Linked DNA regions of Anolis sagrei. The protein of the gene in region 1 purifies or fractionates together with the protein of each later gene. This does not show direct contact. Links are inferred from orthologs where the notes say so. Each region holds a gene or a part of one and is shown in the gene's direction. Other genes may lie near its edges.

What was found. Proteins that work in one complex are often made in the same cells at the same time.
Region 2: the proteins of LSM1 (region 1) and LSM6 purify together in Homo sapiens (co-immunoprecipitation; 3 studies listed by BioGRID and IntAct, counting the BioPlex papers as one, with this or other methods). This does not show direct contact. The link is inferred for Anolis sagrei from reciprocal best matches to the Homo sapiens genes LSM1 and LSM6.

What each region holds. Positions count from the first base shown.
Region 1 is NC_090027.1:10,448,294-10,456,621, forward strand, and holds the start of LSM1 (U6 snRNA-associated Sm-like protein LSm1), read left to right. Parts: upstream 1-4,759; 5' UTR 4,760-4,867; coding exon 4,868-4,913; intron 4,914-8,328. UniProt on the Homo sapiens protein: Plays a role in the degradation of histone mRNAs, the only eukaryotic mRNAs that are not polyadenylated. Probably also part of an LSm subunits-containing complex involved in the general process of mRNA degradation.
Region 2 is NC_090025.1:47,640,119-47,648,257, forward strand, and holds the start of LSM6 (U6 snRNA-associated Sm-like protein LSm6), read left to right. Parts: upstream 1-4,902; 5' UTR 4,903-4,985; intron 4,986-8,139. UniProt on the Homo sapiens protein: Plays a role in pre-mRNA splicing as component of the U4/U6-U5 tri-snRNP complex that is involved in spliceosome assembly, and as component of the precatalytic spliceosome (spliceosome B complex).

The sequences.
Region 1 (8,328 bases):
GCGGCTTAAGGAGCTGGGCATGTTTAGCTTGAAGAAGAGAAGGCTGAGAGGAGATATGATAGCCATGTATAAATATGTGAGAGGAAGCCACAGGGAGGAGGGAGCAAGCTTGTTCTCTGCTTCCCTGGAGACTAGGACGTGGAACAATGGCTTCAAACTACAAGAAAGGAGATTTCATCTGAACATGATTCAACCTGATGTCATCGAGGGCAGTGGAGACCCCCACCTTCAAGTTGGTCTGACCCGCAGCGGAGAGTTCCGCAGTTCCTGGAAGCCCAAATTGGAACAAACTGAAGAAATGTGCCCCAACAGACAGCTCAAACAGGGACTGTACCAAGCCTCTGTGCCTTTCTATCACTTTTCCCCAAGCCCTAACATTGTAACTATTCCCCTAATAAAGATACTTGAAATTGCAACTTTTTAACTTTCTAGCTTGATACTTTGTGTCACTTCTTGCCTGAACTAACTAAATGCATGAATTCAACCTTTTCCAGGCCGCGGGGGACTGCGAGCCTGCCCGGAATGCCTTCCTGGCGTTCCGGGGACGCCGAATCCACGCCGCTTGAAACCGCGGATACGGAGTTTTTCCTTTCAGATCTCCATATCCACAAAATGGCGGATCGGCTCCATTTTAATGTCTTATTTTTCTGCACTAAATTCTAAGCTTGTCTGCCATCTCACTTTTCTTATTTTGGACCCCTACGCTCAGGAAATAACCTCTCAAGTTTTGAGAATATATTTTATTAGAAACAGCTGATTGCCAAATATGCTGGTTCCATGGCTGCTGCTTCATCGCTCCTCGCTGCCTCTCGCCTCTGCCAAGCTCTGGACCCGGGGACTTGATGCGGTTCCCCCATGGGACTTCAGGGAAGAGCCTGGCCAAGGTGCCCTGGACCTTGGGAAGAGATTCTAGTTTTCCAAGGACCAAAGTGTGAAATCATTGCAGCACAGCTGGAGTTCCATCTGCCAGCCTTTGCAAAGATCGAGGACTTTCTGTTGCCTGTTTAGAACTTCAGAATCCATGTTGGAGAATGGAGAATACGGTGGTCAATCAACCTAGGCAACTCCATCCTGCACATTTTCGAGAGCAACCCCTATAGATTTTGCCGACAATACAACTTAGACTCTAATACAGACATTTTAAATGCCATAATAAGTAGCACGTCAGCAATATAAAACCCTAAAGACTGCCAGAGTTGGGGCACCTTGGTATCCCTACGGATGTCCTCAAACACTCTCTGCTTCATTCAGAAAAATGCTGCACTTGCAAAGCTCAGGCGGTGTTGAATTACAGTGTCAATGTGGACTTTTGTGGAGAGAGGGCTGCCAAGGTAGCGGAAATTGTCTACTTTTTCTAATGTTACACCATTAAGCTGTATTTCTGGCATTGGAGAGGGGTTGGCCGGTGACTGCTGGAAGAGGACTTTGGTTTTCTCGATGTTCAGTGACAGGCTGAGTTTCTCATATGCTTCTGCAAAGGTGTTTAGAGTGACTTGTAGGTCCCCTCAATGGACTGTCACCTTGTCGTGGTGAGGGGGCTTGCGTGTTCCAATGAACCTGTGGGCACAACGACTGGAATCGTGCACTCCCAGGAGTGGCCGCAGGGGAGGTTCCAGACCAAGCACAGTCCGAAGACTCAAAGACCTCAACGGCGGAGCAGGCAGAGGATAACATGGTACATGTTACAACGGCTGTGAAGGCGGAAGAAGGCTGCAACAGATTGAGAAGCCACGGTTATTGTGTCAAACTACATCACCAGTGGAACCTCACTCTGTGAAGACTGTGTGTCGATCAGTTGTGCACTGACCTCCACACATTAAAAAAAACCCACGCACAGGCGTCTTCCAAAGAAAATGAAAAAACAAACCAACTGGACAGGAAAAGAAATTTAAAGATGGGCTCAAAGCCAACCTTAAAAACTCTGGCATAGACACTGAGAACTGGGAAGCCCTGGCCCTTGACTGCTTCAGCTGGAGGTCAGCTGTGACCAGCAGTGCTGCAGAATTCGAGGAGGCACGAGTGGAGGGCGAAAGAGAGAAACGTGCCAGGAGGAAGGCGCGTCAAGCCAACCCTGACCAGGACCGCCTTCCACCTGGAAACCAATGCCTTCACTGTGGGAGAAGATGCGGGTCAAGAATAGGGCTCCACAGCCACCTACGAATCCACAAAAATAGTCATCAAGGAAGACCATCTTACTCGTCCAATGAGGGATTGCTTAAGTAAGTAAGACATCAGAAGAGCTGCAAGACCAAGAACAAGCCACGAGAGTAAAGATGAAGATCCACCCAGAGGAAAAGTGTTCCTGCCATACATCAAGGGAACCACTGACCGCATAGGGAAGCTGATGAGGAAACACAACATACAAACTATCTACAAACCCACCAAGAAAATCCAACAAATGCTACGTTCAGCAAAGGACAAGAGGGATCCTCTCACCTCTGCAGGAGTCTACCGTGTACCATGCAGCTGTGGACAAGTCTACATAGGGACCACCAAACGCAGCAGCATTGCCCAGACACGCATCAAGGAACATGAAAGGCACTGCAAACTACTCCAACCAGAGAAATCAGCCATAGCAGAGCACCTGATGAACCAGCCTGGACACAGCATATTATTTGAGAACACAGAAATGCTGGACCACTCTCACAACCACCATGTCAGACTACACAGAGAAGCCATTGAAATCCACAAGCATGTGGACAGTTTCAACATAAAGGAAGAAACCATGAAAATGAACAAAATCTGGCTACCAGTATTAAAAAACTCTAAAATTACAACAGCAAAACAGCAGTGAGGAAACAACCAGGCACATCTAAACACCTCTCAACAAAAGATTTTCCCAGGCTCAGCCAGGCCTTCAAATGCTAATGAAGATGGTTGGTTGAAACATTCACACCTAGCTCCAGCAGAGAAGAGCTCTTTGCCCCAGCCATTCAACAGATATAAAAACCCATTGTCCTAATTCCAACAGACCTCACTACCTCTGAGGATGCTTGCCATAGATGCAGGCGAAACATCAGGAGAAATGCCTCTAGAACAGTGTTTCTCAACCTGGGGGTCGGGACCCCTGGAGGGGTCACAAGGGGGTGTCAGAGGGGTCACCAAAGAACACCAGAAAACACAGTATTTTCTGTTGGTCATGGAGGTTTTGTGTGGGAAGTTTGGCCCAATTCAATCATTGGTAGTGTTCAGAATGCTCCTTGATTGTGGGTGAACTATAAATCCCAGAAACCACAATTCCCAAATGTCAAGGTCTATTTTCCCCAAACTCCACCAGTGTTTACATTTGGGCTTATTGAGAAATTGTGCCAAGTTTGGTCCAGATCCATAATTGTTTTGAGTCCACAGTGCTCTCTGGATGTAGGTGAACTTCAACTACCAAAACTCAAGGTCAGTGCCCATCAAACCCTTCCAGTATTTTCTGTTGGTCATGGCAGTTCTGTGTGCCAAGTTTGTTTCAATTCCATCATTGGTGGAGTTCAGAATGCTCTTTGTAGGTGAACTATAAATCCCAGTAATTACAACTCTCACACAGGACAAAATCAATATCCTCCCCCAATTCCACCAGTATTTAAATTTAGGTGTATTGGGTATTTGTGCCAAATTTGGTCCTGTGTATGAAAATGCATCCTGCATATCAGATATTTATATTACTATTCATAACAGCAGCAAAATTACAGTTATGAAGTAGCAATGGAACTAATTTTATGGTTGGGGGTCACCATAACATGAGGAAGTGTATTAAGGGCTCGTGGCATTAGAAAGGTTGAGAACCACTGCTCTAGAACATGGCCCTATAGCCCGAAAAAACCCACAAGAACCTTGTGATTCCAGCCATGAAAGCCTTCGACAATACATTAAGTAAGGTCTTCTTCTGAATGTGCACAGATGACGTTGTCATCAGCATACTGGAGTTCTATAATAGATGCATGCACTATGCATGCATCAATAGGAGCATAGTGTCTAGATGTAAGGAAGTAATGCTACCCCTCTATTCTGCTTTGGTTAGACCACATCTGGAATATTGTGTCCAATTCTGGGCACCACAATTCAAGAGAGATATTGACAAGCTGGAATGTGTCCAGAGGAGGGCGACTAAAATGATCAAGGGTCTGGAGAACAAGCCCTATGAGGAGCGGCTTGGGGAACTGGGCATGTTTAGCCTGAAGAAGAGAAGGCTGAGAGGAGATATGATAGCCATGTATAAATATGTGAGAGGAAGCCACAGGGAGGAGGGAGCAAGCTTGTTTTCTGCTTTCTTGGAGACTAGGACGCGGAACAATGGCTTCAAACTACAAGAGAGGAGATTCCATCTGAACATGAGGAAGAACTTCCTGACTGTGAGAGCCGTTCAGCAGTGGAAGTCTCTGCCCCGGAGTGTGGTGGAGGCTCCTTCTTTGGAAGCTTTTAAGCAGAGGCTGGATGGCCATCTGTCAGGGGTGATTTGAATGCAACATTCCTGCTTCTTGGCAGAATGGGGTTGGACTGGATGGCCCATGAGGTCTCTTCCAACTCTTTGATTCTATGATTCTATGTTGTTGTAACCTTGGTGTTTACTTCCAGTCTGATTATAACAGGGATATTATGACTTTAAAAAGTGGAGCAGCAAAGTGGAGGGACATAGTCTATTTAGGCCATTTCTCTCCCGCCCCGCCCCCTCTGGGTAGGCCCCGCCCCCTTCTCGAGAGACCACGCCCCTCCTGAGCAAACCCCGCCTACTTAAGTCCGGCCCCGCCCTCTCCCCGGCCCCGCCCCCATGCCGTACTCTCCTTCTCCTTCCTGCCCGGGCGGAGCGTGTGCTTCCGGGCCGGGAGCCGGGCAGCAGGCTCCGTCGCAGGCCCACTCAGGCGAGGGCTCCGGGGCCAAGATGAACTACATGCCGGGGACGGCCAGCCTCATCCAGGACATCGACAGTGAGTCTGGGAGACTGAGAGACAGAGAGAGAGGATTCTCATTTTCGAAAATATATTGTTTTAGTGATAGTTTAATTCATTTAACCATTTGTTTGTATTAATTTGTATTTTGTTTATTTTATTATATTACATATTTGGTTAATATTATTTGTATTTTGTACTAGCCGTCCCCTGCCACGCGTTGCTGTGTCCTAGTGTGTAATATGTGGGTTTAGTGTAAATATATTTGTGTATCTGTGTATATATGTGTGTTTAGTGTGTGTGTGTGTGTCTATATATATTTGTGTATCTGTGTGTATATGTGTGTTTAGTGTGTGTGTGTGTGTCTATATATATTTGTGTATCTGTGTATATATGTGTGTTTAGTGTGTGTGTGTGTCTATATATATTTGTGTATCTGTGTGTATATGTGTGTTTAGTGTGTGTGTGTGTCTATATATATTTGTGTATCTGTGTGTATATGTGTGTTTAGTGTGTGTGTGTGTCTATATATATTTGTGTATCTGTGTATATATGTGTGTTTAGTGTGTGTGTGTGTCTATATATATTTGTGTATCTGTGTGTATATGTGTGTTTACGTGTATTTATTCATACTTATACACAATATACATATACAAATATAAGCACACAAATGTACACATCTACACACACATCCATATGCACACACACAGATATACCCGTGTGTGTGTGTGTGTATATGTGTATATATATATGTATATATGTGTGTGTGTGTGTGTGTGTGTATATATATATATATATATATATATATATATATATATATGGGTGTATATGTGTGTATATGTATATTTGTGTGTTAATATTTGTATATGTATATTGTGTATATGTGTGTGCTTGTCTATATGCATATTTGTTTATATATCTGTGTATGTATGTGTTTACGTGTATATATATATTTTCATACAGATACACAATATACATAAACAAATATAAACACACAAATATAGATATGCACACATATATTCACATCTACACACACATACATATGCACACACACAGATATACCCATATATATATATATGTGTGAGTGTGTGTAGATCTGTGTAGATGTGTATGCACACACACATATATACCCATATATATATGTGTGTGTGTGTGTGTGTGTGTGTATATATATATATATATATATATATATATTTGTGTGTTAATATTTGTATATGTATATTATGTATATGTGTGTGCTTGTCTATATGCATATTTGTTTATATATGTGTGTATGTATGTTTACGTGTATATATATATATATATTCATACATATACACAATATACATAAATATAAACACTCAAATATATATATATATATATATATATATATGCACACATATATACACATCTCCACACACATACATATGCACTCACACAGATATACCCATATATATATGGGGGTGTATATGTGTGTAGATGTGTATATATCTGTGCATAGATATATTTGTGTGTTTATATTTGTATGTGTATATAGTGTATATGTGTGTGCTTGTCTATATGCATATTTGTTTATATTTGTGTGTATGTATGTGTATTTACGTGTATATATTTATATATATTCATACATATACACAATTTATATATATACAAATATAAGCACACAAATATATATATGCACACATATATACACATCTACACACACATACATATGCACACACACAGATATACCCATATATATGTATATGTATATATATATGTGTGTGTAGATGTGTATATATGTGTGCATATATATATTTGTGTGCTTATATGTATATTGTGTATATGTGTGTGCTTGTCTATATGCATAATTGTTTATGTGTGTGTGTATGTGTGCATGTGTATATGTATAAGAGTACATGTGTGTTTACATTTGTATATGTATATTATGTGTATGTGTGCCCTTGTCTATGTGCATATTTGTGTTTATATATGTGTGTATTTATGTGTGCATGTCTATATATGTGTGTGTATGTAAATGTATATGTGTATATTTGTGTGTGCTTGGGTATATATATATATATATATATATATATATATATATACACACATACACACGTGTATGTATGTGTGCATAATAGTGTATGTGTATATATATTTGTATGTTTATATTTGTATATGTATATTGTGTGTATATGTGTGCTTGTCTATATGCATATTTGTGTTTATATATGTGTGTATGTGTATATTTGTGGGTGCATGTGTATATACATATATGTGTGTGTATGTAGATGTATGTGTGTATATTTGTGTGTGCTTGGATGTGTATATATATGTGTGTATGTGCATGTGTATATGTATAAGAGTGTATGTGTATATATATATATGTGTGGAAGGCAGTCCCGGTCAGGGTTGGCTTTACACGCCTTCCTCTTGGCACGTTTCTCTCTTTCGTCCTCCATTCATGCCTCTTCAAATTCTACAGCACTGCTGGTCACAGCTGACCTCCAGCTGGAGCGCTCAAGGGCCAGGGCTTCCCAGTTCTCAGTGTCTATGCCAGAGTTTTTAAGGTTGGCTTTGAGTCCACTTTTCAATCTCTTTTCCTGCCTACCAACTTTCCATTTTCCATTCTTGAGTTCGGAGTATTTATTTATATTTATCGTGTCATCCGCAACCAGAACATTGTATTACATTTCTAACAGAACAAAACAAACAAACAGATAAAAAAAAACAAAAACACAAATTTTGCACACTTGGTAGCTGATTAAATGTCCCTTGACCAGTATCTGGCCGCTTGGAGTGCCTCTGGTGTTGCTGCAAGAAGGTCCTCCATCGTGCATGTGGCAGGGCTCAGGGTGCATTGCAGCAGGTGGTCAGTGGTGTGCTCTTCTCTACACTCGCATGCCGTGGATTCCACTTTGTGGCCCCATTTCTTAAGATTGGCTCTGCATCTCATGGTGCCAGAGCGCAGTCTGTTCAGTGCCTTCCAAGTCTCCCAGTCTTCTGTGTGCCCAGGGGGGAGTCTCTCATCTGGTATCACCCATGGATTGAGGTGCTGGGTTTGAGCCTGCCACTTTTGAACTCTCGCTTGCTGAGGTGTTCCAGCGAGTGTCTCTGTAGATCTTAGAAAACTATTTCTTGATTTGAGTCGTTGACATGCTGGCTGATAGCCAAACAAGGGATGAGCTGGAGATGTCTCTGCCTTGGTCCTTTCACTATTGGCTGCTACTTCCCAGCGGATGTCAGGTGGTGCAATACCGGCTAGGCAGTGTAATTTCTCCAGTGGTGTAGGGCGCAGACATCCCGTGATAATGCGGCATGTCTCATTAAGAGCCACATCCACTGTTTTAGTGTGGTGAGATGTGTTCCACACTGGGCATGCGTACTCAGCAGCAGAGTAGCATAGCCCAAGGGCAGATGTCTTCACTGTGTCTGGTTGTGATCCCCAGGTTGTGCCAGTCAGCTTTCGTATGTTATTGTTTCTAGCACCCACTTT
Region 2 (8,139 bases), on another chromosome or scaffold:
TACTAAATCTGTGGATAAGGGGGCCACAAAATGTCGTACAATATTTGAAAATGTGGTTTAATTGCTTTCATAGAAATATGTTAGAAATGATGATAGGGCCAAGAAATATCTCACGGATAATTTTTCCTCATAAAATGTAAATTACAGAATAAGTGATCCAAATAAAATGAGATTGACTGGGCTGGAAAAGCACAGGAATGAATGAATTACATTTATCAAATCAAAAAAATGTTAAGTGCTGCCCTGTTCATTAGATAATGGCAGCCACATACAGCTCTCACAGTTGTCTTTCGTGTGTCAGACCGAAATGAGTTTCCGACCTTTTCATCATGTAGAGCTTCTAAATAGTGATCTAACAGGAAAATGTTCAACAGCTTCAGTTTTTCCTTGATGTGATCTACAGTTGGCCCTTCATATTTGCAATTTTGACTTTTGCAGATTATTCACAGATTTGCAAAAATCATATTTATATAGAAATTAATCCTGAATGCATTTAAATGGCTTTTAATTAATATAGCATTGACTAGGATATTGACTACTGATCCTATTAAGCTAAAATAAACTGAATTTATTATATTATCTGTCTCACTGGCTACAGCAGGCATAGGCAAACTTCGTCCCTCCAGGTGTTTCAGACTTCTGCTCCCACAATTCCTAACAGCCTACCAGCTGTTAGGAATTGTGAGAGTTGAAGTCCAAAACACATGGAGGGACAAAGTTTGCCCATGCCTGAGCTATAGTATATTTACTTCTATTGCCTATTGGCTATAATGCATTTTGCCACACTTTACCTATCCCTTTCTTCCACACTCCTGCCTTGCGCACAGCCAATAATGAAATGTATGGAAATGGTGCAAAAGGTTTTCTGCAGAGCTTATGCAGAAAACTTTCTGAATTATTTGTGCCTTTTGTTTAAAATCAATTTTCTTGAACAAAAAAAAAAAATAACAATACCCAAGGCATTGTCTCTGCTTCCTCTTCTGGCCAGACATGAAACTGCGGGCTTTTTCAGACTGTTTACTCTCATTTCCCTTGACATCAATCCTCCAGAGAGAAAAACTACAATCATCCCAGCACTCAGAGTGTCCTTCCTGCTTTGCTTGGCAGAGGAACTAAATAATAAAAATTAATGGAAATTACGTAGTAAACAAGAAATACTTTCGGACCATGACTCAAGAGATAGTCACTTATGTAATAGAGAGCAAAGGTTATGCAGTTGAGTGGGATTTGCATACAAGCTGTCTGGCCATATTTCATTCATGGATATATGGCCATGCGGGTTACCTGTAACTTTTGTGATAGTGCCTTTAGTGCTGCTCTCCTCATACTGCCATCATTATAGCATTTGCCTAAATAAATGCAATGTAGATCAAAGCAAAACAAAACACCTCTATATTAGAAATATCTGTATCTCAGCATCCTTACTAAAGTATTGACTTGGCTCCATGCTTTGAAATTTTGTAAGTTGTAGTTTGGTGAGGCACCAGCACTTTCTGGGGACCCTTCTACACTGCACTATATCCCATGACCGAATCCCAGATTATCTGCTTACTCCAGATTGTATTGCTGTGGAGACTCATATAACCCAGTTCAGAGAGGATAATTTGGGATCTGATCATGGGCTATAGGGCAGTGTAGATCTAGGGCCCTTGTACACTGTCATATAAAATCCAGATTATATGCTTTGAACTGGGTTATATGGCAGTGTAGACTCATATAATCGAGTCCAAAGCAGATAATGTGGATCCTCTGCTTTAATAATCTGGATTATATGGCAGTGTAGAAGAGGTCCCAGCCTGGGAGAGAAGACTAAAGACCTTGTAGAACTACAACCCACAAGATTCTTTAGCACTGAGCCATGGCAGTTCAAGTGGTATCAAACTGGATTAAGTCTACAGTGCAGATGCACTCTTGATAGTATGTATAAGAAAATAAGTTTGCCAGCCCAGAATTTCAGGCATCCACAAATCTAAAAATCCTATAGACAGTATTTTTTTCTAAACAATAATTATTTTCTAAATGGGGGAAAGACAATTAAACTAACAATATCGTTTGCAGTGACATTTAAATTATTCTAATGCACAGAGATTTCTCACCAAAATCTTCAATTCTCCTAACATCTACTTGAGGTTTTTTGTCACTTCTTTTCTGCAGGAATTGTGCACAAATATTTGATTTTGCATGGTTTTTCAATACCAGTTCAATGCCAGAATGATTTATTTGACATGTTAGCTATCTCATTGGTTTACAAGTTATTCTCTCAGGTATAATGCTTCATGAGTATGCAGTCTTAAATATACATAATAGTGAATTAGTCTGCCTGAAGTCAAAGTGCTGAGTACCCAAGGCCATGTATATTGACTAGTGAGACAGGAAATCCCACAAGCACTTTATTTCTTGAAATATGAAACTGGTGGAGTATGAAATCTGAAACTCAGCTGCTTGAGTTGGTTCTGCTTGTGAGTAAAACATACATAGGATTGTGATACAGAGTCCAATCCTTCATGTGTGTTTCTTAATAAAAGAAATTCTGTTGGAATCAGTGTGACCTTTCTTAGCATCTCAGGCCACTTCCGCACAGTTGAATAAAATCCCACATTTTCTGCTTTGAACTGGAATATATGGCATTGTGGACCCAGATAACCCAGTCCAAAGCAGATATTGTGGGATTTTGTGCCTTGATATTCTGGATTATATGGCTGTGTGGAAGGGTCCTCAATCAAGAGATAAAGCGAGATGTGATTTATTATTATTTCTGATTTGTTTAGGGAGAAGCTGCTAAAGGGTCAAATTTGGAACAAGCAATTGCAGACCATGTAAGTGTGCAAAGTTTTTGTTTTGTTTTTTGAAAAAATTAAGCTTCTGAATGCTGGGACATAATCCCCCTTCTTGAACACACCTTCTGACAAAAGCAGGTTATTAGAGTAATTCATTACAACTATTATTTCACTAATTTCAATCTTTTCTAGTTTTGTAATTCAGCTCCCATAATTCCTGACAGTTGACCATGCTGGGAGTTGGAAGTCCAAAACATAGTCTAACCTGAAGACTATGGGTCCTTTCGCATAGCCATATAACCCAGAATATCAAGGCAGGTAATCCACAATATCTGCTTTGAACTGGATTATGGGTCCACACTGCCATATAATCCAGTTCAATGTGGATTTTATAGCTGTGTGGAAGGGACCTTGAAGTACATCTACACTGGAAATTAATGCAGTTTGACACCACTTGTACTGCCCTGTCTCAATGCTATGGAATAAAGAGAATTGTAGTTTTACACGCTATTTAGCCTTCTCTGCTAAATAGTTGAGGAGCCTTAAGAGTTTACAACTTCCAGGATTCCATAACATTTAGGGCTCTTCCACACAGCCATATCAAGGCAGAAAATTACAAGATATCTGCTTTTAACTGGGTTACCTGAGTCCACACTGCCATATATTCCAGTTCAAAGCAGATGTGGGATTTTATTCAGCTGTGTGGAAGCCATGACAGTTCAGGTGGTGTCAAACTGCATTAATTCTACAGCACACACATTCCACTATTTTGCATGCTCAATAATTCAATAAAGGAGGGGGGGGGCTGCTTATTAATGTTCCCATACTCTGCGTGCCTTTTCATAGAATCCTAGAGTTGAAAGAGACCTCATGAGCCATCCAGTCCAACCCCCTGCCAAGAAGCAGGAAAATTGCATTCAAATCACCCCTGACAGATGGCCATCCAGCCTCTGTTTAAAAGCCTCCAAAGAAGGAGCCTCTACCACACTCTGGAGCAGAGAGTTCCACTGCTGAACAGCTCTCACAGTCAGGAAGTTCTTCCTAATGTTCAGAATCTCCTTTCTTGTAGTTTGAAGCCATTGTTCCGCATCCTAGTCTCAAGGGCAGCAGAAAACAAGTTTGCTCCCTCCTCCCTATGACTTCCCCTCATGTATTTATACACAGCCCTCAGGCTGAGGGAGATATGATAGCCATGTATAAATGTGTGAGAGGAAGCCACAGGGAGGGAGCAAGCTTGTTTTCTGGTGCCCTGGAGACGAGGACACAGAACAATGGCTTCAAACTACAAGAAATGAGATTCCATCTGAACATGAGGAAGAACTTCCTGACTGTGAGAGTCGTTCAGCAGTGGAACTCTCTGCCCCAGAGTGTGGTGGAGGCTCCTTCTTTGGAAGCTTTTAAACAGAGGCTGGATGGCCATCTGTCAGGGGTGATTTGAATGCAATAGTCCTGCTTCTTGGCAGGGGGTTGGACTGGATGGCCCATGAGGTCTCTTCCAACTCTTATGATTCTATGTCTCCTTTCCAGCTTCTCTTCTGCAGGCTAAACATGTCCAGCTCTTTAAGCCACTCCTCATAGGGCTTGTTCTACAGACCTTTGATCATTTAAGTCGACCTCCTCTGGACACATTCCAGCTTGTTAATATCACTCTTCAATTGTCGTGCCCAGACTCAGGGCCCTTGGGGCTCTTGACTCAGGGCCCTTCTACACAACCCTATATTCCAGAATATCAAGGCAGAAAATCCCACATTATCTGAGTGTGGACTCAGATAACCCAGATATTGTGGGATTTTCTGCCTTGATATTCTGGGATACAGGGTTGTGTGGAAGGGCCCTCAGAAGCAAAGGACCCTTCCACATAGCCTTATATCCCAGAATATCAAGGCAGAAAATCCCATATTATCCAAGCGTGGATTCAGATAATCCAGTTCAAAGCAGATACTGTGGGATTTCCTGCCTTGATATTTTGGGATATAGGGTTGTGTGGATGGGCCCAAAGCTTCTCCTTTCCCAAACATAAGAAAGAAAGAACAGCCTCCAATCAAAAATTCCATCACCGAAGAGTTTTGGCCTGCGCTGGCCACCGTCGCTGCCACGTGAAGCCGAAAAGCGCTGATTGGTTCGGCGAGCAGCCTATCATCCATCATCGCCGTCGTTCTTCGTTCGGGGAAGGCGTTCGAGACGGTGAGCGGACGTCAGAGGGCGCGGGTGAGTGACTGAGGGCGAGAAGTCAGGGAGGGCGGTGAGCGCGCGCCCAACTGTTTGTGCTCTCGCGCTCGGAACGTTCCACTCGGCTTGTTTGGTTTTTTTGGCGGCGGGGGAGGGGTCAGAGACGAGGCTTTGCTGCTCCTCTTCCTTTCCTTTGTGGAGGGGTTCTTGGAAAGGCCCATTTCTGCCCCCCCCCCCCACCTTCGCGCCTCTTGGTACAGCCCTTTCCTGAATGAAAGACAAGCGGCCTTTCTTCATTCTGCCACTTTATACCCTGTGGCTTCGGCCTTCCCCTCTTCGAGCAGCTTTGGCCCTTTCGGGTTTAATGCGTTTTATATTGTCCTTTCCGACCTAAGGCAACTCCATGACAAGATTGTTCAGAGTGGGGAGTTTGCCTTCCTTTAAGGCTGAGCGGGTGTCTGACTCCCAAGGTCACCCAGTGGGCCTCATGGCTGAGCAAGCATTTGAACCCCGGTCTCTAAAGGAAGCCTGAGCCAACTTGGGCCCTCCAGGGGGTTTGGACTTCAACTCCCACAATTTCTAACAGCCCCAGACTCTTTCCTTAATCTTTGAACTGTATTATATGGTAGATCAGGCCCTCAGGGGCAAAGGAAAGGGCCTGAGGCTGTTAGGAATGGTGGGAGTTGGAAGTCCAAAGCTCCTGGAGGGTCCAAGTTGGCCCATGCCTGGTCTACCATATAATCCAGTTCAAAGCTTAAGCAGCTGAGGGGGAAAAGGAAGGGGCTTGAGGCTGTTGGGAATGGTGGGAGTTGGAAGTCCAAAGCTCCTGGAGGGTCCAAGTTGGCCCATGCCTGGTCTACCATATAATCCAGTTCAAAGCTTAAGCAGCTGAGGGGGAAAAGGAAGGGGCTTGAGGCTGTTGGGAATGGTGGGAGTTGGAAGTCCAAAGCTCCTGGAGGGTCCAAGTTGGCCCATGCCTGGTCTACCATATAATCCAGTTCAAAGCTTAAGCAGCTGAGGGGGAAAAGGAAGGGGCTTGAGGCTGTTAGGAATGGTGGGAGTTGGAAGTCCAAAGCTCCTGGAGGGTCCAAGTTGGCCCATGCCTGGTCTACCATATAATCCAGTTCAAAGCTTAAGCAGCTGAGGGGGGAAAGGAAGGGGCTTGAGGCTGTTGGGAATGGTGGGAGTTGAAGTCCAAAACCACTGGAGGAAACACGTTGGCTTAAGCCTGCTCTAAAGCCAAATCTCAGTGCTCACATCACAACACTATGTAATAAGAAATGAGTTGTTTCTGGAAGCTGCATTGGGTACTATTGTGAGAGAAAGGCAGCATAAGAATAATAATTTTATTTATACCCCACCACCATCTCCCTGAAGGGACTCAGGTGGCTCACAGAAGAACTTTGAAGCGCCATACATAAAACAACAATACATAAACATGTAAAAGAATGAATTTGTCAAGGAACATGAAAGGCACTGCAGACTCCTTCAACCAGAGAAGTTAGCCATACCAGAGTACTTGATGAACCAACCTGGACACAGCATATTATTTGAGAACACAGAAATGCTTGACCACTCTAACAACCACCATGTCAGACTACACAGAGAAGCCATTGAAATCCATAAGCATGTGGACAATTTCAACAGAAAGAAGGAGACCATGAAAATGAACAAAATCTGGCTACCAGTATTAAAAACTCTGAAATTACAACAGCAAAACAACAGACAGGAAACAATCTGGGACATCTAATCACCTCTCAACAAAAGATTGCCCCAGGCACCAACAAGCCACACCAAACAACAGCCAGGCCATCCAATGCTAATCAAGGTGACCAGTTGAAACATTCACACCTAGCTCCAGCAGACAAGAGTCCTTTGTCCCACCCTGGTCATTCCACAGATATATAAACCCTTTTTCCTAGTTCCAACAAACCTGACTACCTCTGAGGATGCTTGCCGTAGATGCAGGTGAAACGTCAGGAAAAAATGGCTCTAGAACATGGCCATGTAGTTCGAAAAAGCCTACAACAACCCACACTTCTACCCCACCCTTCTCCCCCCGAGGGGGGACTCAGGGTGGCCTCACACAAGCACCGTATTATGCTTTCACCATATAACGGATACATTAAAACATTAAAATAATGCATTTAAACAATAGATTAAACATGCTAGATTAAAACCAAATCCAAGTCTGGGTAAATTCAATATCAGGGGTATCCTAAGTCTTCTTTCCAGTTGCCACTGTCCACTAATCGAATGCCTGGTCCCACAGCCAAGTCTTCAGTTTTCTTCTAAAGGACAGGAGGGAGGTGGCCAGCTTGATGTCCCTGGGGAGAGAATTCCAAAGACGGGGGACCATTGCCAAGAAGGCCCTATCTCTTGTTCCCACCAACTGCGTTTGCGGTTGTGGTGGGATCGAGAGCAGGGCCTCTCCTGAAGATTTTAAACTTCATGATGGTTCATAACAGGAGAGACGTTCGGACAGGTAGTCTGGGCCAGAACTGTTTAGGGCTTTAAAGGTTAAAACCTTTATATAGGCAAAGAATAGGTAAAGGTTTTCCCCTGACATTAAGTCTAGTCGTGTCTGACTCTGGGGGTTGGTGCTCATCTCCATTTGTAAGGTGAAGAGCTGGCATCAATAGACGCCTTCAAGGTCATGTGGCCAGCATGACTGCATGTAGCGCTGTTGCCTTCCTGCCGGAGTGGTACCTATTGATCTACACCCATTTGCATGTTTTCGAACTGCTGGGTTGTCAGAAGTTCCCCCTGGGATGGGGGTAAAAATGTTGTAAATAAATAAGTGCCCGGAGTGAACAATCGGTGAATTCTTACTCTGACAATAAATTATACAAAGTCGAAAGCCTGCCTAAAAAGCCATGTTTTTAAACTAGCCCAAACGGCTTGGCGAGTGGGAGCTAACTTAATCTCTCTTGGGAGGGTATTCCAGAGCTGGAGCGGGCCACCATGGTGAAGGCCCTCTCGTACCTGGGTGGTGGGACTGAGAAAATAGCCTTCCTGGTAGATCTCAATGCGGCCTCGAAGATAGGTTGGACCCAAAGCGTATAGGGCTTTATTGGTGATAACCTGCACTTTGAATTGGGTCCAGAAACTTAACTTGCTCTAATAGGGGCATAGAGTGCTCCCTATAGTTAGCTCCAGTTAGTAATCTAGCTGCCGATCTTTGCACCAACTG